2 linked regions of the Rhinolophus ferrumequinum genome follow. The protein of the gene in region 1 interacts with the protein of each later gene in a pairwise test. Links are inferred from orthologs where the notes say so. Each region holds a gene or a part of one and is shown on either strand. Other genes may lie near its edges.

What was found. The genes of interacting proteins can lie anywhere in the genome.
Region 2: the proteins of LZTS2 (region 1) and PRKAB2 interact in binary tests that used the Homo sapiens proteins (3 or more experiments, as listed by UniProt). The link is inferred for Rhinolophus ferrumequinum from reciprocal best matches to the Homo sapiens genes LZTS2 and PRKAB2.

The regions. Positions count from the first base shown.
Region 1 is NC_046299.1:23,693,841-23,701,231, forward strand, and holds the start of LZTS2 (leucine zipper putative tumor suppressor 2), read right to left. Parts: upstream 3,010-7,391; 5' UTR 2,857-3,009; intron 167-2,856; exon of another isoform or gene 46-166; intron 1-45. Other genes in the region: TWNK (twinkle mtDNA helicase), read right to left, coding at 6,205-6,525. UniProt on the Homo sapiens protein: Negative regulator of katanin-mediated microtubule severing and release from the centrosome. Required for central spindle formation and the completion of cytokinesis.
Region 2 is NC_046305.1:49,426,671-49,434,610, forward strand, and holds the start of PRKAB2 (5'-AMP-activated protein kinase subunit beta-2), read right to left. Parts: upstream 3,012-7,940; 5' UTR 2,676-3,011; intron 2,344-2,675; exon of another isoform or gene 2,214-2,343; intron 1,972-2,213; 5' UTR 1,947-1,971; coding exon 1,791-1,946; intron 1-1,790. UniProt on the Homo sapiens protein: Non-catalytic subunit of AMP-activated protein kinase (AMPK), an energy sensor protein kinase that plays a key role in regulating cellular energy metabolism.

The DNA.
Region 1 (7,391 bases):
GCTGGGGACACCCCCAGGTCGCCTCCCCGCCCCGGCCCCCCTCACCTCCACCGCGCTGCTCCATGCTCAGCCCCGGGCCGCCCCCCGCGCTCCACCGGCGAGCCGCCCGGCTCCAGCCCGCGCGGCCACTCGGAGCGGCCCGGCCGGACCCGGCCCCGCCTCCGCGGCGCCCCTCGCGGGGCAGACCCCGCCCGGCCCAAGTGGGCGGTGCAGCGCGGGGGAGGGGTCCCAGGGGCGTCCCCGCCCCCGGGGCGCGGGCACGCGCAAGCACCCCGCGTCACGCGTGTCCCGCGGGGCGCACGCTGGCGCTGCACAGCCGGACTCAGGATCCCTCCCTCCCAGGCCGGTGGCTGTGTGTCTGCGGAGTTCGGTCGGCTCAGGACTCGGTGGCGGCAGCAGGTCACCCTCTACTCCAACCGGGGCCCCGGGGCCAGTGGCGGCTGGTCATTGTTGGAGCACAAAGGGCCTGGCGCCGTGGCGGCCGCCCTACCCCCTCCGTTCTTCTAGTTGAAGCCTCCCTCACAGACACTCTCCGGCTTCGGAGTCCAGAGTGGGAGGCCGAAGGCCAGCTGCCATTCACTCTAGCCCGCGGCCCGGGCCCAGAGCCCGCTCCCCCCCAGCACACGTCAGGGGCCAAGGCTCGGTCCGTGCTTGCCCCACCCCCAGCGTCTTGGAGGCCGCACACTTGGATTTGCGGAGGCGGCGCCACCTGGCGGCGGATTCGGAGAACACGCCCAGTTACCCCCCAAATCCCGACCTCGAGCGGGGAGTCCTACCTGACTCCCCAGCGCTGTATCCCCCTCCTCCTGGAGCCCAGGGCTGCAGCAGGCGCGGCCCTGTGCTCCCCGACCTTCCCTCAGTGTCATTTGATAAAAGAGGATATTGCTCAGAGATGAAGGCCCTGGCCCCTCAACAATCACTGGGGTGAGCCTGTCCAAATCTACAATCCAAACCTACTGCAGCCTCACAGCAGACAACATTCCACTGTCTTCTCAGGGACACGAATATTCTCACCCTCTGGCAAACACAACCTTAACACCCACACGACCTTTCCCACATTCAGTTTCACACAGCCACAATCAGTCTCATCCATCACGTGGTTCCATGTTCCTTCTTTCCATCTTTCAAGCCAACAACTTACAGAGAGAGACACAACACACTCGGTGTCACACGCCTAGTTGTGCATACTTTCACAACTCACAGTCCTTCACACGCAGTCACAATATTAATAAACACACTTAGTCTAAGCATGTTTCACACATTGACAGTCTTATTCACACACAACTTTTTACACATACACATATTGCTCAAACATTCTACCATACAGACTTTCCGTGGGGGTTTATGTGAACTGGTCAGGTCGGCTGATGGAGCACCCCTGGGCAAGGACAGCCACCCGCCCCCTAACCCCCGCCCAGGCCTGCCAGAGCTCCTCTGCCCAGGGAAGGAGCATCCCCCCCTTCCAGGCCACAGCCCTGGCCGGCTCTCAGCTCTATTTTTAGCTCTATGGAAAGGGTTGTTTTTCTTTCTTTCTCCCTGGAAAGGGAAACATAGCCCAGCCACCCTCAGGCTCACCCCGTTTCAAACCCTCAGCCTCACAACAACAGACGGAGCCCCTCTCTCCGGTAGAGAGAGACCCCTCTTCTGGCCTTGCCCTGATCCCAGCCTCCTGGGGCACTAGGAGCCTCCTCCCCTTTCTGGCAAACTGCCCAGAAGCTCGGGCAGCAGCTGGGCTCAACGTGTGTGTGTGTGTGTGTGTGTGTGTGTGTGTGTGTGTGTGTGCGCGCGCGTGTGCGCGCGCGCGCGCGCGCGCAGAAGTGGGGGGTGGGGAGGGGAGGGAGGCCGAGGGCCGCTGCCCACTCCCTTACTAGTGAGGTGGGATGAGGGGATGGGGTTCGTCCTCCTTTCTACCGGAGGGGCATAGGCCCAGTCTGGTACTGAAAAGGAGGTCCTGAATTCTCTTGGGGTGGAGGACTCCCACTCTTGCATGAGTGCGTTTTCTGCTCCTACCTTGGGGGGGGAGGAGCTCCTAGTTCTGCAAGGAGGGGTGGTATTAGCAAGGAGAACGACAGGCGCTCATGTAGCTACGGTTGCTGCTCCCCAGGCCGGAGGAATGGGGTAGGAGCTGCCGTCCACTGCTATCAAGAATAGCGCCCCCCTCTGATACCTTCAGGGATGGGGAACCACGAATGTGTTCAGGAGAAGGGCGAGGACACCAGGTAACCCCACCCCAGTCCAACAGTCTCCGGTACGCCGGTGCTACCCCATTCCAGGGGGCGTTGTGCTCCCATTTCTGGGGGAGGGCTTATCACCTCTCGAAGCGGAGAATGGAATACAGCCCCCTGTGGGACCTCGCAAACTCGCCCTGGACTAGCAAGGGAGGTCTTCGCCCTGAGGCCGGGGTGGGGGAAGCACAACCCACCCGTCTGCGAAGCGATCCGGGGCTCGGCGCCTGTTTGCATATTAGTCCTCACCTGCCGGCGGCGGGGAAGCAGGAACAGCCCGCGGTGTCTCGCCCGCCTCGCCCCTGTCTGCACTTTTCTCCCGCCCCTGTCAAGCGCCGTGCCCGCTGGGGGTCTGCGCCAGCCAGTGGCGCTGCTCCACGGGCTACAAGAGTAACTCACTGGGCGCGTCCTTTCCTGGGTGCACGTGTGTTTGTGTGTCCCAAGTGCGTGAGTGGGTGTGTGTGCACGCGTGTGTGGGCCCGTCGGTGTGAATTTCCGCGTCGGTCCCCTGTTCAGGGACCCCCCCCCACTCCCATCCTAACCCCCAGTTTCGCCAGACCGCAAAGTTTAATCCGGAGCGGAGTTGTGCGGGAGGCGGGAGTTCCTACACCTTTGCGCCCCCACTACTCACCCAGCACCACCTGCGCCGCTGCTTCAGCTCCTGCCTGGCTCCTCCTGCTCCAGTGCGGGCACCTCCTCGATGCAGATCCGCCGGCTCCCAAGCCCGCTTCGGGCTCCGGACTCGCAGCGCCCGCCAGGCCCGGCCTGGTGGAGAGGGGCGGGGCCGCTGAGGCCGCGCCCCCAACCGAGGGAAAGGAGTGGTCTGCTCAGCACCCACTCAACGGCCAAGCCGGTACCAAACCCCGCAGTAGCTCCACGGTGACCCGAGGCTGCCCTCTGGTCTCTGACTTCACAGCTTACAGGATCTGGCTTTCGACCTGGGGAAGGGGCGAGCGGCACGTGACCGACAGCTAAGCTACCCACCTGGCTGCCCTAACCAAGCTGGCTATAAGACTTTTTCTGCCACCTCCCCTGCTCTGGAGGGAGCCAAACCTGGTCCACTCTCAGCCCACTCCCCAGACGCCGGGAAAACCCCTGGGAAGCAGACAAAGAAGGCTCGGGTTTCACCAAAACAGACCCGCCCCTCTGTCCCCTCCTCCCTCCCACCCCGGCTCCGCGTGCCCCCACACCTCACTCTCCCCTGAAGTAGTGTCTGCCAGGTGAGCAGACCTACCAGTTCTGGCCCCCCACAGAGCATGGCCTGGCTTCCCTTAGACTCATAAAGTTCCACCCACAGGCACAAACAGGAAGTAGGCCTGCATTGCAGGGAGGCACCTAGAGCTCCCTCCCTCCAAGAAACGCAAGGCAGCATATGATGTCTACAGGTATCTGGGCCGTATTTACAGCCGGAGTACTTGGGCAGCATAAGTCCAGTGAATTTAGTTCCTTCTCAAACCCAACCGCAGTAAAGAAGCTACTGGAGGACCAAAGCAGCCCTCACAGCTGAATCTGAGATCCAGCTGGCCCCTGCTTGGCCAGGCCCTTCCTGAGCTCTCAGGGAGATTCTTAACATGCAGTTGGACGTAAGCAGAGTACTTTGCCTCAATCCACTTTGGCAATGTCCAGGGTCAGTGGCTCCCAGGGCCCTTACACAGGACTCAGGGATCCCTCATTGCTTTCTAGGTTCCAGGTACTCCTGAACACATTTTGGGCTCATCTTGATGTGAATAAAGACAGGTGTGGAGTGGAATGTATTTGTATAGGGCGTAGGGCAGGGGGAGCATTAACTTCCCCTCCCCCCATCATTCTGGTTTATATTGTGTGGGGTGTCTGCTAGGAGGATGGGGCAAGACAAACAGGCAAGTGTGTATCTATCCCTCTATCCCCAATTCACAGACACCTCACAAAGTTCCCTTAATGGAAACCCCTAAAGGATTTCCTGAGAACACACAAAACATTCTAGGAAGACGAGAATGTGGAACCCACGTCTTTATAGGTTAGGACTGACCTAGTGGTGTGCATCTGGAAGGCATGGCTGACGTTCAATGTTACAGACCCTGGATGAGGCTTAGACCAGCCAGCGGCTGGGAATGATTATTGCGGGGATTAGGAGGCCTGGCTCCAGCCAGTCTGGGAGAGACCCCCAAGAAGGGAGGCCCTCCAGGAGCTTTCCCCTCCCTTCCCCCAGGTTCTCCCCCCAAACAGCTTAGCTCCAGGTCTGTTTCAGGAGCCAATTGTAGTCAAGGTTCTCACACATAAAAGACAGCGACCCCAGACCCTTCTGCAGGGTCCTAGAAACCCCTCTTGGGTTGACGGGGAGATCTTGATAAGGCAGCCTTGCTTCCAAGGAGCAGGGAACCAACCGCCACCCTTACAAAAGGCTTCTCCCTAGGCCCCTCTTGCATTCTTACCACTCTTGCAGGCAAATCTAAAGGGAAACTGGGATTTTAGGATATTAGAGGAAGTGAGATGAAAGTCTCATCATCTAGGAATATTTCCGACAGGGTCTCTGTGTAACTTATTTTCTCATCTCCCTCAGGACTTGTTGAAAACGAGGAATCCTATGTCTCTCCTTGAACCTCCAGAATTCGAAATCTGTGAGGATTGGGGCAAATTGGGCCTATGTTCTTCTTTTTAAAACAAGAGTCCTAGGAGTTCTGACACACACTAACATAAGAGAAACACTGAGGGTACAGGAGGAGGGAAGTGGACGGGGGCCAGGTAAGAATATGCTAAGCCTGAGTCCACATTGCAAGAGGTCAGTTCGTGGCTTATTATCACAGAGGGACAGCTTGTCAGGCTGAGCTTAGGTAAGTGGCCAGGTGACTCACATCTCTGCCAGAGATCACATGGAGATCCTCAAGGAAAACAGGGATAAAGAGACACCATCATGTCTTCCCCTGGCCAAGAAGAGGTGTCAAGGGTGTGTGCATGTAAAGGCCCTTTAATGCTCTTGCTTCCTTGGGAGCGGAGCTCAAAGACTGGGGTGGGGGAGGGGACCTATCCCAATTCAGAGGAAAATCGTTATAGACTGGGGAGACACCTGGTGGACAAATAAGAAACAGCACAGAAACAAAAGCAATGGAAAATTTATTTTAGTAAAACTTCAAAAGGCTCTACAAAAAATTATGACTGCATCCACTGCAGCGGTCTGAGGCAGCATACCATACAATGTGTCCAGGTGGCAGGCACGCTAGGTTCACAGCTTCTTTCCATGGCTCTCTGGCCAAGCTTCCACCTTTGGGGCCCTAATATTACAGGGCTAAGCACCTAGGATCCAATGGTAGTGAGTGCCACCACACAGCAGGCTCGACTGGAGCGGAGGAGTTTGGTACCTACCATGTCGCCCTTCGGCTCGGAAAGCCTATGCTGGAATTTTGGCCAGAAGTCCCCTATTCTCCTCCAGGTTCAGGGGGCCTGACCCCACTACTCTGAACTCAACTTGCTCATTCCCACCTCAGGGCCTCTGTATTTACCTTTCCTTCCGCCTAGATCCCTCTTTCTCCAGATGTTCACGTGGCTCAATACTAGTTCTTTAGGCCCGGGCTCAAATGTCCTCTGCTCAGAGACAACTTTTCAGACCTTAATCTAAACTAGCCTGTAAGTACTATCCCATGACTATTTTATTTTTTGAATAGCATTTTTCATTATCTAAAAGTGTGTTTTGTATTTATTTGTTCATTAGCTTACTTGTCCCCACACCAAATTTTAAGTTCCATGGAAGCAGGGACCTCATCTGTCTTGTCAGTGCTATATTCCTAGGACCTAGAACAAAACCTGGCACACAGTAGGTTCTCAAATATTTGCTAAATTGAATTCTCTCACTATGGGACCCTGCCCTAGGCTAGGTCCCTCAGACTGAGAAGAGCCCGTAGCTCAGGACCACAGGACAGAGGCAGCCCTAGCAGAGGGCCAATAAAGAGTCTATGCCCCAGCCTGTCCTGTCAGGCTTATTTCAGTGTCCAGCTCTGTACTGCCTTCACCTTGAAGGCTTAGAGGGGTCTGGCTGGTAGGGGTTGGGGGCCTTGCTCGAGTAAGTCTCAGAGTTCTGGGACACAGCACCCTTTTTGCTAGAAGAGGGCTTTTTAACCACTAGCCCATTGTCATCCTTGATCTTCTTGAGCCGGGCCTTGCTCTTTGGTGGTATGGAGAAGGTTAGAGAGCTCTTGTTGAACTCAAGCGGGAAGACACCTACGTCTCCATCAAAGCGGTTCTTGGCCACCTGTAGATACCGTTTGCCTGGTCCAGTTACCAGCTTCCTGTCCTGCAGGATCAGAACATTGTCTGCTTCCTGGCTTGCCTGAGGGATGGGGGCAGAGGACAAAGGAGCAGTGAGAAGACATATGAGAGAAGCAGAAAGAAAGGTTGAGGGTGCAGGGAGAAGTGGCAAGAATGAGGAAAGTACTTCCCCCCCTTCATCAAAGCTCTTTGAACTACTGACCACGATGCTTGAGGCCACGTGAGTTTTTCAGTTCCATAACGACCTTGCTGCTGTCCCAGATTTTGTATCTGCTGTTCCCTCTGCTTGTAACACTTCTCCACAACTCACCACCCTACTCAACGCCAGCGTCTTATCATTGAGGTCTTGGTTTAAATGTCATACTTCACTAGAGAGACCATTCTTGATCCCCATAAATAAAGAAGGTACCACCATCTTTCCACTTCTGTGTTATTCTCTTCCCCAGCTCCATGTTTGTTCCATTGTGGCACATAGTTTGTGCTCCTCGCCCTGTATTCCCTGTGCCCAGCCCAGGCCTGGCATGTAATAGGCATTCAGTGTACCATGGGGAGCTCTAGGATCGGGCTGGTCCTGCTGCTCAGAAGGCATCCCATTTATTTGATTATTTCACACCTACTGTCAGCCAAGACTAAACCCAACCTTTGCTGACACCTCCTCTAGGAAGCCTCCCCAGATGTCCCAGGCTGACTCAGATGTCTTTTCTCTTTGCTCCCCAAATACCTGTGCTGCCTATCATAACTTTTATCACACTGAGTTGTAATCACTCTCCCACTGTCTCCCCACCAGAGGATGTGAGCTCCTGGAGGGTGAGGAGGGCAAAGGACCAGCTATTATCAGACTTTGTATTCCTCGTGTCATGGCCCCAGCTGCCTCATCCAGAGGGATAGTCAAGATGATTGAAACCTGACGGAGGGCTACCTCTGGTC
Region 2 (7,940 bases), on another chromosome or scaffold:
TTCAGTACACTGTTTTCCTGGTTTGAAACATGGAAAATGTTTCCTTTTATCCATAAAGTGTTTAAGCAAATTTCAGGTGATTTTAATGTGCAAATTGGACTGGGAACAGAAGAAGGTGGCCCCACTGCCAGTTACTTTTATGATTTAGGATTTCCGGTTTAGAATTTGAAAGCTACAAACTATTAATATGCCTAGTTTGGAAGAAAGCCCTTCCACATGTGACATTTCTGTGGTCGGCATGCGGGCAGATGACTAGCAGAAAGGCTGTTTATGTCAAGTTAAATAGTCAGCAAAATCATTCGGAAAAGAGAAAATTCGAACTACAGTTTGAGATGTTTAAGTGAAACATTGATATTGAAGTAAAGACAGTAGGAAGGTTGAGAACTGTAAAATTTTAGATTTGGAAGAGACCTTAGGAACAATCAGAAATAGTTTTCTGATTTCACAAATGGCAAGACTGAGGTAAGGCAAAGAATCATCCCAAATAGGTTCCATTTCCAATAAAGCAATCTGGCTTGTATTCAGTACACCACTTACTGCAGTCACAGTTTGACAAATACACTGTCCTTAAATCCTGAGTCATCAGTGTAGGAAAAGGGGGAAAATGCAGTGAGGGAGGTCACCTTGAGAAAGCCCTGAAGAAGTACTGGGTGGGTGGACAGCCCTCATGATGAGGAAGACGTCCTGAAGTGGGAGGAGAAAGGAAGGGAGAAGAAACCCCAAGAAATGGTCCTTTTGATCACTCTCACTTCTGATTATGTTCTCAGTCGAGATCCAAGAAAATAAACAACCAAATTCCATGAGCTGCCAACGTGGCAAATCATGCTCCATTTACTTCGTGGGAAGGCATAGGGGACATCAAACATACTCGTCTCCTCAATCTCTCCGTTTTTCTAATTCATCCCAGTCAGCCTTAACGTACTTAATGCTGTAGCTCTAAAAGTGATAAGAAAAGCATTTGGGTGGTAATCACAGTGCTGTCAGCTCAGTTTGCCCTTTCTACAGAGTGCCCACAAGTTGCCACTCCGCTCAGAGTCCTTGGACGCCAGCACAAGGTCTTTGGGGCAGCGTGGGTTGTCCCGCTTTCAGCCCTGGTGACATACTGAGGTACTACTGGCTACTGGAGAAATCCTGGAATGATTTGTTCTGCCACTTGAGCAGCTGGGCACGAAAGAAGCACAACCTCAGCACCACAGCTATAAAGTATGGGACAAAAACTGAGCAGCGATGTCCTTTATGGATGTACAAGACTAGGAGGAAGTATTCAAATAAGCAAGTGATTGTTCCTCACAGTCAAGACCAAGGTGAAGACGGTCAGAAGTGCTGAGCTCCTACAAGGGCAAAAATGATACTGACACAGAGAGAAAAAAGAACCTCATTTACCCACCTCAGGGCAAATGTGAGAAACCACCAGCTATGGGCGGCAACTCAGGAAACCTCTAAAGTTTTCCGGCAGCGCTGACACTACAAATTCATCAGTACGGTAGAAGAGGGCACCGTGCCTGTCAGGAGAACCAAAGATTGGGAGGCGAGGTGGGGGGCTGGCATCCTGCTATCCTCTTAAAAATGTGTCCAACAGATTAATCGGCAAACAAGAACCCCGCTTCCGCCCTATTTTGAGGCAGTACCGCGAGAGGAATTACCATCCAACATCTCCGTCCCCCCCAAATCCCTTTAATTCAAAAAGTCATCACCCAGATCAGCGTGGTAAGAATTAAGAAAGTGAGGAGGCGCCCTGACGCCCCGCCCACTGCAGCATCGCCACCCACGGGGGGCGAAGGGACGCCCACCTTGGAGTCCTGCAGACTGAAGACGCTGGGGTCGTCCGTGCTGCCCACCATGATCTTGTGCTCCTTGCCCGGGCCATGGCCGCCGGTGCCCTCAGCGCGTGCTGCCTTGGCGCCGTGGCGCTCCCCGGCCACCCGGTCGCTGGTGGTGTTTCCCATGGCTGCAGCTCGTGTCGGGGGCCACCTGCCGTGGGGAAAAGCACCGTGCGAGGAACACCCCTGCGGCCACGTCAGGGGCGCGCGCAGCCCCACCCCTGCGCCTGGGGACACGGGCAACGGAATCCCCGCCGCAGGGAAGCCGTGCCCGTGGGTGCCCTCCCTCCCCGGCCTCCAGGAGCGCCCCGAACCCCCTCCCTGCCCGCTGCTCAGGAAACCCGCTTTCGGGAACTCCCCTGCATCCCAGCGCTCACGCCCCCACCCCATCACCTCCTGAGACGCGCTCCCTCCTCCCCGGGCCACAGGCGCGATGGATGCTCTGCGGCTAAGGCCACCAATAAAGTTATTGAAATTGAAGCCACGCGCGGAGCTAGGGAGCCGGGTTTCCTCCTAAAATGGCTACAAGGCCGGCTGTGCGGTCCCGCCCCGCGCGCCTTCCCTGCGGCCCCGCCGCGCAGCTGCCCGGCCCGCCGGCCTCTCTAGCCGCCGCCGCCTCCATGGTAGGCGGTCGTGGGCGGCCTTCCGTGCTCGGCGGGGGCTCCCGCCCGTCCGCTGGGGACTGGCTGCACCCGGACAGCCCGCCCGGCGACACTGCACCGGGCAACGTCAGTGCGCGGAGCTCCCGGGCCTGCCGCGCGGATCACACGGTTCCCGAATGACATTGGGGACCGCCAGCCAGGCACCGGTGCTCTGTACCCCGAGGAGCGGGGTTTTCTTCTCGGGCCCCCTCACCTGGGCTCAGCTTCGCCAAAACATTTTCTGGACAGCGTCTTTGTGGCAGTCGCCCCGGAGAGGTGGTGTCCGGGGGGGATAGGAAAACGGACTTTCCACTGACGCAGAAGGATTGGTCCAGGCTAAAATTAAGTGGTGTAGGGAGCTGTCAGCCGCGACTGGGGCCCCAGGGAAGATGGAGTGGTTACGAAATAAACCTTGATAAATTAGTAAAATGTTACTCTGAAGAGGAGAAAGCTATTCTAAGAAATGGCATATCAATTAACGAACCCGGAAGAAATGAAATTCAAGAAAGAGTGCAGGAACAAAAACATCAGAAGGAACTCTGAGGGCAGAAAAGGGGGAAGACAGACCTGGGTTTGGGACAAATCCCAGCTTTTACTGATGATTAATGGAACTTTACCAGTTAGTGGCATTTACCAATTCTTACTTTGTGTTACGATTCTATGTCTCATTCCCTCCACGAAATCCTTGGCACTCAACGTGTGTTTCAGGGACTGGCAGCACAGGCATCACCTGGGAACTTGTTAGAAGTGCAAAACCTGGCCCCATCCTACAGAATAAGAATCTGCACTTTACAAGGTCCTCAGAGGAAGGTGTGTGCCTGGTAAAGTGTAAGAAGCACTGCGTTGACACTGGCAGAGAGGACTCCATTTGATTCCTCTTCGTATTCTGTATGCACCTTGGACAGAGTGAACTTTAATACACATTTGCGGACTGAAGGGTACGTGAATACTGATTATTATATTTCTCACAAGAATGCCACTTAGGCTTAAACACAGCCGGTGATGGCGAACTCCATCAAAGCCACCCTTCCGGAATGAGCCACTCTATTTATTGAAAAGTTCATTATTATATTAAGTTGAAAACCCACCCACTTAAGTCCAACAAATCCACTCCTTCCCCTTTGATCTATGCTCAGCCCCAAATAAACTGTTGTTTTCTGGCTCTTAACCAAAGACAGTTTGCAGACTAAAAACAGAATCTTGACTGTCTGGTTACTTCCTTTTGGTGAACTCCCTGCCCTCCCCAATTCCTGTCATTCTTTCCATAGGACTCTGAATCAAGGCCTTTGAAGGAATAACACATTAAACCTTAACTAATGTACTATTCAGCTTTCTAACTCCAGGTTGGTCTCTCCGGGCCAAATAATATGTCTCTGGTACATATTTCCTTACAGTAGTCAAATCACCAGGGGAGAAGCATACACAATATATATTAGCCAATGGAAAACTTGTTAGGAAGAGAAACTATTTTTGTAAAACTAAATAGAAATGATTTTTGGATTATCTGATTTGGGGGTGGGAAACAAAAAACTTTCATGGCCAATAGCTTTTCTGAAAGAAACCGTTTATTGAACCAGATGCCAGCCAGAAAAGGACAGGGTCCTGGTGCGCGCTGTCTGCACCAGCAGCGGCAGGGCTACGCACTTCTGGCATTGACGGATCCTTCATATCTCGGGTTTAGAAAACAAAGACGAAAGTTGTTTTGAAAGAATTGGCACTGGCTATGGATAAAGGGCGTGTGGAAAAAGTGAAGAGGGCCTAGTTCTGGGATAGGTGCATAGTCTGTAAGGAAGAAGCGTTTGTTCTTGAGGACCGGTTGTGGGCAACAGTCTGGAAAGGTCATGCATAGCAAGGTAATGGAGGCACTGGTGGTCACTTGTGCTGGTGGCGGGCTACTGGCTCTTCTCTTTAGATAATTGTGCAATAGCTACCTGGAAGTTAACTCAGAGTTGTAACATTCATTCAGGAATGCGAGCAAGTCTTACGATGATTTTCCCCGCAGTTGTTAACTGATTAACCTCTCTTGTCTCTTTCTTCTACCCTCGGGCCTGCTATAATTTAATTTAGGACTTCTCAGAGTGTTCATTTTCTAGTCAGGGGATTGTCGATGACATTCTTGGACTCTAATAGCACTTGGAAGTCAGTCCACAGTAAACTCTGCGTGTTGCATGTTTAGACATAGGACACAAGTAACTTGATTCTGTAGGAAGGATTGATTGCTTCTCCTTACTACCTACCGAGTTTTTGGGTTTTTTCCTTAAACATAGGAGTGTCTAGGCAAAGAAGCAAGATCTCTTAACCAATGGCATATAATGGTTTCCTTTGCTGTGCAGAACCTTTTTAGTTTGATGTAGTCCCACTTGTTTATTTTTGCTTTTGTTGGCCTTTGTTTTTGGTGTCAAATCCAAAAAATCATCACCAAGACTGATGTCAAGGAATTTATCCCCAATGTTTTCTTCTAGGAGTTTTATGCTTTCAGGTCTTAGATTCGTCTTTAATCCATTTTGAATGAAAAGCTGGGATTTCATTGTAGGGAAAAGAGAAAAGAGGATTAATGCGTTGGAAAGAGAAATAAAAGTAGATTTCTGGGCAATGTGAAGCTAAGAGTTGTCCTGGAGGCATCTCTCGATCCAGCTCCCCAAAGAAAACCGGGGCAACGACAGTGGAACTGCTAAAAATAGGTTATAATTATGGCAAAAAAAACCACAGCGAGCATGAACCAGGCCATCGTTAATGCTGAAATCATGGAACCACTGCTCTTAACTTGTCTGGTCATCATAGGCTTCCTGATACGCTCGTCTATGGTGAGGATGGCTTTTCGGGCTCCATCCCACTTTCCCGGGCCCTGTAGACGATACTGGATTGGAGTGTAGGGTCCCAATAATAACTGTAATGCCAGCTTGGGGTCGGTGAAGGCCAGAGACAGCAGGTTGGGTCTGACGCCCACCAGATCAGCAAGTTCCACCGTGGTATCTATAAAGTCTGTCTGAATGGTGTGGCGTTGGCTCTCCAAATACCTGAAGCAGACAAGACAGGAGCCGTGGCTGTCAACAGTCAGTCAGTCAATCAATCAATCAATCAATCTAGCAGTGCTTTCTGAGTACCTGTTATTGGATCAATATTAGACTAGGAGCCTATGGAAAATAGAGAAGAAAATAAGACTTTGTCCTTTATGACTTTGTAATCTATCGGAGGAAATAGGATAGATACAAATGAAACAGAAGAATATATGACTTTTGGCAAATCATGTGGTTTCAGACTGTTAAATAGAAATGTAGAAGAGGGTAGTTAAAAGAGAGCTTGAAGGATGTGGAAGATATAGATAAACTGAGAACAAAGAGGAATATGTCACAAGTCAGGGGACCATCAGAGTGAAGGAATAAAATAGGAATGAGTGTAAAAATTGCGTATAGAATATCTGTAGGCACCACCTACAGTAGCAGAGGCGTGCTGTGGAAAACAAGGATATATACAGAGACGCAAGGACAGCAGATCCATATCCAGAGGACTTGGATATTATCAGAACGAGAGAACCCACCACAAAATTCTGAAGTTTGGGACCCTCAATTGTTTTATGAGGGCAGTGGTGGTGGGGTCCACAGTGCAGGACTTCCCAATGTTAATTCAGAATCTGGAAAGGAGGGGGTGAGAATGACTTACCCCCCTCCCAATGGAGCCAAATGGAATGACTGATGACACTAAGTATAGATCTGAAGAGCTAACAGGGCTTTTTAGAGGGGAAGAGTGGTAATAGCAATACTTGTGTGGAAGGAGTGGGATTCGGAAAGCTACCTGATAACCTCCTCGTTTTCCTTTCTATTCTGAAAATGAAAGAAAGAACAGCGGGACAGAAAGGTAGTAAGAGGAAAGCCAGGTCAAGTTAATTGAGATTAGAAGGGCTTCCTCGGATTAGGAGAATCCAAAACAGACAGGAAAAGGTGAGCGACTGTAAATTTGAGGTAGAACAGGTGAAATGGAACTGAAAGAAGGTCAAAGAGGAATTTATTGAAATGGAACTACAGTTTAGAAGAAAGAAGATAGGACAGAATTTGAGAGCTCCCCCTTGTGGATGTGATGCCGGCCCAAAGGTTGGTAGGCATGCAGTTACCCTATGGTACTGGGTGAAACGCTGTCCCCGTCATGAAGGTGTCACAAAGATTCAATAAACTCACACGTATAAAACGTTATGTGTAAGTACATAATTAACCCTTCATAAAGGCTCAATGATATCCTTAGGGACAGCTCAGTCTGAAGGTGGCTAGACAAACGTCTGAAGAGAGGGAAAGTTGAAATAGGGTATTTCATTGCCAGGAAAGCAAAGAAAGAAAGCATTCCAGAAGAGAGTGGTTGCAGGAGCAAGGACGGAAGTTACAGTGCAGGGAGCTTAGGAGGGAGAAAAGGCTGAGACTTTAGAGCATATCAGGTAGAATATGGATGCAGAAGTTCGGCAGTGGAAGGAAGGAAAAACTAGGAGAGCACCTGGCAAGGATATCAGGGTGGAATAAAAACGCTCTCCTCCTCCGAGGCAGGGGACAGTTGCGCCAGTACAATCAATTGAAGAAAACCACCTCTCTGAACCTGCAATGATCCTGCCTCTGACTTGCCCACAAAGGTTTAGGCACCTGCCATTAGCTCCCACTTTGTCTAAAGAAAAGTCACCCAGTGAAGTTCAGATGCTAAATGACTGTGTCACCCAAGCACTAAGCACTCGGCGACGTACCACCTTCCCTGATCATGCAGGCTGTTCATACCATGAGGCACTGTGACCTGAGCATGCTGTCCCCTGGCGACAGCCTGCCCAGTGGCCTCTGCAGATTTGTAAATCTACTTGCGGTTTGGAATTCGACCATGTCTGCGCGCAGTAGTTCATTGCCGCTCTTCCTTCTTGTGGCAGCTCTACTAGCACTTGAAGCAATCCTTGCAAAAACAATATACCTGATTTTCTCCCCATGTGCGTTTTCCTACAGGACTTTTCTTTCAGGCCCTAAACATAGGATTTTAAACACTTTTCTTCAGCTTGTCTCTTCTTTCTCACCTATAACAAACCTCTCGGTGCTATTTCTCCATTCTCTTGTCACAAACTATTATTTCCTTTTTCTTCAGAATATAACCTAAATCCTGAAAACTAACATGAGAAAGATAAATACAGTACACTATTGCTTTTATTAAGAACTAAGTGAGTAGAGAAAGTAAGCACCTACTTTCCTGGGAGAATTTCTTACCTTTTGTCAATTTTCTCTTGAGCCTCAGTTATATCTCTTAACATTTCACTTTGTGAGGGTAATGTTTTCAGCCCTAAAGAGAAAAACCAAATATTTAAGTGTGAGGTTACTTCCACAGGAACTAGAATCCTATTAACAAGTACTATGTTCTGGAGAATTCAAATAATTCCTTAAAAGTCAGTAAGTGTGAACTGCAGGCTGTTGATGAACAAGGAAGAGCTGAAGTTCAGAGATTTCCCAAGGGTTCTAGCAAGGTG